Cricetulus griseus: one gene and its partner. The protein of the gene in region 1 interacts with the protein of each later gene in a pairwise test. Links are inferred from orthologs where the notes say so. Each region holds a gene or a part of one and is shown in the gene's direction. Other genes may lie near its edges. The genes, in order: Ptpn21 and Bmx.

What was found.
Region 2: the proteins of Ptpn21 (region 1) and Bmx interact in binary tests that used the Homo sapiens proteins (3 or more experiments, as listed by UniProt). The link is inferred for Cricetulus griseus from reciprocal best matches to the Homo sapiens genes PTPN21 and BMX.

The regions. Positions count from the first base shown.
Region 1 is NC_048598.1:106,994,153-106,997,971, forward strand, and holds part of Ptpn21 (tyrosine-protein phosphatase non-receptor type 21), read left to right. Parts: intron 1-2,030; coding exon 2,031-2,091; intron 2,092-2,682; coding exon 2,683-2,767; intron 2,768-3,819.
Region 2 is NC_048604.1:99,280,981-99,284,799, reverse strand, and holds part of Bmx (cytoplasmic tyrosine-protein kinase BMX), read left to right. Parts: intron 1-318; coding exon 319-373; intron 374-2,446; coding exon 2,447-2,526; intron 2,527-3,819. UniProt on the Homo sapiens protein: Non-receptor tyrosine kinase that plays central but diverse modulatory roles in various signaling processes involved in the regulation of actin reorganization, cell migration, cell proliferation and survival, cell adhesion, and apoptosis.

The DNA.
Region 1 (3,819 bases):
CCCAAGCCCCAGAGTTGGGCTGGCAGTAATCAACCTCCCTGAGTTATATGAGGAAAAAATGAGGCACGAAACTTCTGGTTTAGTGGCTTTTTTTCTTCTTTCTGTGTGGACTGTACCCTCTAGTCTGCAAAGTCAAGTTGGGGAGCGAGGGGAAAGAGCCTTTCTCTAGGGAATCAGCAGCATGCTGTGGCTGAGCGCAGTGAAGTGAGCTAGCCCTTGTAGTTTAAGGTTGTAGGTGAACATAGCAGCCAGTGCCCATCTCCTGTGATCAAAAGACCGACTGTTGGCTCCAGGGACTGGAAGAAGATGCAGGACCTCCTTCACTTCTAGTTTACGGGGCCCCAGAAGATTGAAGAGGACTTGCTGGAGTCCTTCAGAACCTGGAAGGAGGAGGGTGGTAAGAAGTTGTAGGGGGGATTAGAGGGACTTGTCACAGGCCCCCAAAGTGGGGTGGGTCTCCTGCTCTCCCTAGTAAGGCTTGAGGACAGGGAGTTCTCCTGGTGTTGGAGTGAGACAGCTTCCTTTTCTGTGCAGGTACTTGGGTAGATGACTGGCAGTGGGGTCATCCCTTAGCCATCAATATTGCCTGTTTTCTGGGGATTATCTCTGCTTGCCCACAGTGACAAGTTGGGGCAGGAATCCAGTGACCTTATGGTGGCCTGGATATGTACCTCTGGCCTACCCTAAAACAGGGGAGGTTTTGTTTTTCATCACCCTATTAAGGAAATCACAGGAGGAAAGTCAATGAGACAGACATCCTGAGGTATTTCCACCATCTGACACATGATCAAAGCCTGTCCTTTGCTAGCCATGAGTAAACCAATGGCCAGCTGAAAAGAAGCTCACAGTGCAAGGGAGATAACTCAAACAGTCTTAAATTAATAGGTTAATTTAGTGTGTGTGGGAGTGCATTTGGAAGTTGGTTTTCTCCGGACGTCTTGTGGGATCCAGGACTTGAACTCGGATTACTAGGTTTACATGCATGTGCTTGAGACATTTCACCTGAGAAATATTCTCTTGAGTATTGATTTCTGTCCCCGTCCACTGTGCCATTCATGTGCTCAACACATAGTTGAGGGCTGCTTGTATGCAGGCATGTGCTGGGTACGACCCACTGGTCGTACAGTGGGTTTTCTTTCCCTTTCCCCCGTGGAGCTTATGAGTTAGTTGGGGTTAGGGACATCAGAAGAAAAATGACTGTCAGGGACTCTACTCAGGCATCCAGCAGACCTGCCTGTTCAAATGCTGGTTCTGTCACTTGTTTGCCATGTGACCAAATGGGATCTACTTAATCTAAGTATCACTTTCCTCATTTGTAAAACTGATGACTGGACCTCCCTGATGGTGTCGTTCAGATTCCACGAGATAACCACAGGCAGTCTGGCCAGTTTCACAAAGCAATATCATGTACTTCACCGGAGCTGACAGCCTCTTCATTATCTTCTCCAGTGCACACGTTCTAGCTATTGATCCCAGGAGCGTTAGTGGCCTCACTTCTCAGTGTTACTTACCAGCCCGGAAAGCATCCTAAGCGACTGGGCAGCAGAGCCAGCAGTCCTTTCCCTCTGTGTGGGAAGTTGATGATGGCTGGCCTTTCCTTGAGCTGCACTTAGAAGAGCAATGAGAAAAAAAGAGGCAGATGGTTAGAACAAACGAGTGGCAAGGTTGCCTAGGTCAGCCTGTGCAGCGGGTGCATGTGGTACCCTTTGTTTCGTTTTCAGCAGAACTGGCTTCTGCTTCTGCCTTCCCACTGGACGCTGCCAGCAAGATGCCAGTGGCTAAGAATGGCTGCCTCTGTTCATCACTGGCTCCTGTACTTTACACTCTGAAGATGTATTCTTGCCCAGGCTGTCCAGCTGTGAAGGTGTCATTAGGCATCACAGCCGTGCTCAAACCCCAGCACGCCTTAGCCTCTTGCATGATGGAGTTACAGGTGTGAGCCACCACACTGGCTTCCCTCCTAAAGCTGGCTTATTGTTGTAGACTAGGAAGCATGTGTGTGCTGGGCTCACAGTTGTCTTCTCCCACAGGCAAACTCAGACTGCCACGTTGAACCCAGTCAGGAGGGGCTCATCTTCCAGGATGTCTCTGGTAAGAGAAGGAACATGGTCACCTCTTCTCTCTTGTGATGCCACTTCAATTGCAATATGCTTTGGGCAGTATGTCGAGTTTGAACCACAAATGTGTGTTTGAGAATTTTTATCCAAAGAAATAGTGACTTCCATAAGTCCAACTTAATATTTATTGTACTTGTTCAAATATTAGATACAACCACATATTATGAATTTTAACTGGCTAGCCTGGAATCCTAAGTAGGTATTTAATGTACTTGACTTTGTCTTAAAGGGTTTGTAACACATAAGAGCTTTTTCTACTGATGAGTTTCAACAAGGAGATTTGTATCTATTCTTTCTTGTTCATAACTTTTTGGATGCAGACTTCCTTGTGCTGTCTAGTATCCTCGGTGTCAGTGCCTAAGGCTTGGCTTTGTCACGTGGGATGCATTGAAAATGACAGATATGCTAAGGCCTCCTTCATTTTTGTAGTTATTTTCCATTTATAATACATTTACCATCTGTAGAAGGTCTTTTTAGTGAGGAGAAAGAGTCCAGCAAAGAATGACTTTACCTTTTTGACATGGGCAATGTGTTTTAACTCTATGTCCAACTTTCCATTTCTTAGCCTAAACCCCAGCCCTATGCGATGCCTCCCCCACCCCAGCTGCATTATAATGGACATTATTCAGAGCCATTTGCTTCTTCCCAAGGTAAAGTACACCAAGTCTGCAAAGCTGCGCACAGTTATAGCTATGAGTAACTCCGTAAAGACCTAGAGATCTTGAAGTCTAGATGCCTTCTTATTACAGTTGTACCCCAAACTGTCCTGTTTATAGCCATCCTGGAATCCCAGAAGAAGCCGTTGTATTCAGGTTCTTTCGTGAACGAGCGTTGCTCAGCTGACCCCAAATGTAGCCAGTGGCAGCTCACTAAGCTGGTTTCTGAGTCCTGGAGCCCTCCCCCATTAGTCTTATTTAGGCCAGGCTTCCCTTAAGTTTGTGATTTTCCAGCGTGCGTCTCCAAGCGATGTGTTATAGGCATGTGCCACCACATCAGGCAACCACCAAAGATATCCAGACAGTTTAGTTTTCTTCCTGCCTGAAGCATCTCACTGTAATGCTATAATTCCTTGTTCCTGCCACTTCAGCTGTGTGTGCACTGCAATGCCTCCATGCTGAATCTCAACCACCTGTGTGCCATTTGTCTGTAAGCTCTAACCACAGAACGCCCGAGATGTGGATGCAGATGAGCAGTTCTGTGTAAAGAGGCTTGGACCCTAATTGTGGAAATCAGGCCTTTGCTCATCATCTGATCACAATTATTTTGCTAAGAGAACACGCATTAGCATTCTATCCATTCTGTTGGGGGCACTGAGAAGAGCTTTCTGGATCTAGTGGGATGGCTGGACATCACCAGTTCCAGGCAGGTCTACGCCTGGGTCTGCTGCTGTGGGCTGGTGAGTGCTGTGGTATTGGAAGCGAGGGGCTGTTTGGAAGTGGGGTCTACTGCCCACTTTGTAGGGCACAGGTCTGAAGGGACAGGAAGAAGGCGTGTTGACTGCACTTCTAGTTGTGGCCTTCTATGCAGAGTTGAGGATGGCGATAGCAGAACAGAGCTGTGGTGTGGAGTTCAGTGTCCTCTGGGACTGTCCCATTCCTGCCCCCTCTTCTATACCCATCTGTACTTGAACCAAAGCCCCTCCAACCATGGGACAAGGCTTCTGCCTTCTGTCTCTGTGCTGCTTGATCTATGACGATCCTGC
Region 2 (3,819 bases), on another chromosome or scaffold:
CTTTCTCATTGGATCGTTATTGGTCTAATCTCTGGTCCTCATTCAAAATGGTGAAATGTAGGCTAACTTAGAAGTCACCTAAAAGGACTCTAGCAGCCTGTTCACAGCTTGATATTATACAGGCCTCATCCCAGAAGTAGATTGGGTGATGGAGACTAAGAAGCTGGGTTTTGAAAATATCCTCAGGTAATGCTGTCAAATAATTAGGTTTGAAAATTCATGATATAAGCCAATTCCTCAATTTGCAGACTAAAAAGTTGAGAGGTGGATTATGTAAGTGAAAAGTTATCAATTCTCAAATCCAGAATTCTTTTGCAGCTGGTTTGCTGGGAATATCTCCAGGTCACAATCTGAGCAGTTACTGAGACAAAAGGTAACTCTCTCTCTCTCTCTCTCTCTCTCTCTCTCTCTCTCTCTCTCTCTCTCTCTCTCTCTCGTGTGTGTGGTGTGTGTGTGTGTGTGGTGTGTGTGTGTGTGTGTGTGTGTGTGTGTGTGTTAGTTTGTTAAATGTGCATTCCTACTACTAGGCTACATCTTCAGCCCAAGAATACCTACCTGTCTCTGCTGTTTCTGGCTGGGCCCAGTGGTGAATGTATTCTCTGAGAAACATTATAGCTAATGTTTCAACTCTCCATGACATTGCCTGTCCATCCTTTGAGTTACTAGGGTCTCCTTTTGCCTTATCTATTGCTATAAATTAAACCACCTCAAGCTATAGGTGACACTCCAGTTACTGAGTGGCTTGCTGTCCCTTTGTCATGTACTCAATAACCTTTTCTTTAAAAATAAACCACTGCAAAACTCAGTGGCTTGAAACAAGATTTTGGATTTCTCACAATTCTGTGTAGCAGCTGATCCAGTTCCATGTTTTGCTGATGGATGGTTGAAGGTGGGTAGCTGAGACTCTCAACTTGGGTGCCACAGTCCTTCCTTATATAGCCTCTCAAGTGTCTGGTCTGGGCCATTCTCACAGAATAGAAAACCTTCCAAGAAGGGACTCTCTGCTTTAACAGCATTGACTAGTGTCCCATTGGCTACAGCAAGTCACATGACCCATCCCAAAGTCAAGGTGTGAGGAGACATCATAGAATCACCAATAGGAAAGATGATTCCATTTTTCAGGACTGGAGATGGAACCCAAATGCTAGCACATACTAGGCATGCTGTCTTAGTTACTTTCTGTTGCTGTAAAGGGACACCATGTCCAAGGCAACCAATATGAAAAAGAGTTTATTGGGATTTTGCTTACTGTTTCAGAGGGTTAATCCATGACCATCTTGGTGGAGAACATGGCAGCAGGCAAGCATGATGCTGGAGCAGTAGCCGAGAGCTTACATGTTAAGGAAGCAACCAGGAGACAGAGAGCCAACTGGAATGGTGTGGACTTTTGAAACCCAAATCCCCCACCTCCAGTAACATACCTCCTCCAAAAAGGCCATATCTCCTAATCCTTCCCAAACAGTTCCACCAACTGGGGACTAATAATTCAAATATGAGCCTATGGGGGTCATTCTCATTCAAAACAACACACATGCTCTCTACTACTGAGCTATATACCCTAAGCCCAAGAAAAATGACTTAATGTGAATTATCAATGTAATTATTTTCCTCAGCTGTTTTTCACTGTACATTAGTACCAAAACCACAGCACAGCAGATGTTATATGGAATTAATTTATTTGATTTTATTGCTAATTGGTATGAACTTGCCTGTAGTAAATTCTTTTGATCTATGAAATTGATATTTTGGTACAATTCAGTCTAATAAAACACTAAATACACAAATTACATTTTGAGATGTGCTGGATAGAATGTGATAGGTTACATGGCAAGTTATTATGTTTATAATTTATCATGTTTTTTAGGAACCTGGTATTGGTTAAAATTGGAATAAACCCTTTCAAAAGACAAATAAAGGGTATAACTTTAGTAAAGAATTTATTGTTCATTGCTAATTTTCTCAGACATTTCCAGAATTTGATTATAGTGGTGTATGCATGCATGTGGGCGCACACGCCTAAATTTTATTTCTCAAACAGGGAAACATTAAGCTTCCATAAGTAGAAAATAAAACAAAAATATTAGAGAGTTGCCAATTATCTAGAGAAGAGATAATTCGCCTAGGATGGGTCTATAAAGATACAGACTTGGCTGAGGATAAAACTCAATGGTAGAACACTTGCTTAGCAAAGGTAGGGCCCTGGGTTCCAGCCCCAGTACCAAAAAAGAAAAATGGAAGAAGGAAAGAAGGGATGTGAAGGGAGGAGGAATAGGGGAAGAGAATTGAGTGAAAAAGAAAGAAAGCTAAACTGAAGGACAATCCTTCTGTGCAACTGTTGGGTAACCTGTCCCTTTGGTGGCATTTAAAATGGATCTAAAATTATTTTTTACTTACTGCCTACATAAAAATCATTTTCAAAGTAATGAAAATCATTTCTCATTTTCAGGGAAAAGAAGGAGCATTTATGGTTAGAAATTCCAGCCAGATAGGCATGTACACGGTGTCCTTATTTAGTAAGGCTGTGAAGTAAGTACAATGTAGATTCATGTCTTTTATCCTCTTATGACTGTTTGACAACAATGACCACTTAGTCATAGTTTGAGATGTGACACCACTCTTGAACTCTGGAGTTTGAGATCAAGGTATTTGTGTTGAATCTAACCATTAGCCATTGCCTTCTTACCCTCTACTTTCAAAAGTGTGTGCTCTGAGTGACCCTCTCCTGCCCACTCCAGATGATGGCAGAGTGCTGTGAACACAACACCCCCCCCCATAAACGTTTGCTGAAACAGCAGCATGAGCCTCTTGGAGTTAGGCTTGAGCAGAAAGAACAATAGAAAATAGCAATAGCACTTCTAAATAAAAGATAAACCTGCCTGCTGAGCTGAGAAGCTTGTCCCAGTGCCCGGTTCTCAGTGAGCCTTTCCTAGGCCGTTGAACCAAGGGAGCTGTGTTATGAGTAGCTTCTGCCTGTCTGCTGCCCTTGGCAGGAAAGAGTTCTAGCTCAAAGTCAACAGCTCTTCCCAGTTCAGGCCTTTACTATATTGAGCAAATTTCTTAACTGCTCTGGACCTGAACTTCCTCATTTGAAAGGGATTCATAATAATGATCTTTAATGCATTCAAAGCAACAAGATGTTGTTAAATAAAACAGCAATGGTTACTGAAAATTAGGCCTGTGACCAATTACACATGATTAAAATTACTTCCCACATTCACATCTGTAGTCCTTGTCGAAAGATTGTGTGTCCATCAAACAGGAAGCCACAGTGTTTAAAATCACCAACCTAACCATGACTTTGAATTGGCCAAATGTAAACTAAAAGCCTTCATTAAAGGGGTACAATTTTGTATAGCTTAGTATCTGTAGTTTAATGAATTTGGATTGCTGTGCAAAGGCTGGCATTATAATTACTAGCTACTTGAATGTCTTTTTAATGTCTTTTATGTAATGTTTTAACAGTGCTAATAAAAATATGGGTTTACCTTTTTTAAGAATGATTTTTTATGTTCTAGGAAATAATTTAATACACGTATTAGATTAGGCTACTGTCTAACACATAGTGACACCTAACTAAGGAACAGTCACTGTTCATGGTGTTGCTGAAAGAGTAGTCGTCCTACTCTTGCATGCCTGACACTTAGGTGTGTAAGGGTTTTGAGAGTCATCTGTCAAAGTCATCATCATCAGAAGCCCCTCCAGAAGATGGTTTTCTTGAGACAGAGACTCACTATGTAGCCTCCAACTCTTAACTCTCCCACCTTTGTCTCCTCAGGGCTGGGATTACAGGCATACACCTTCCAGAGTTTTATAAATCAC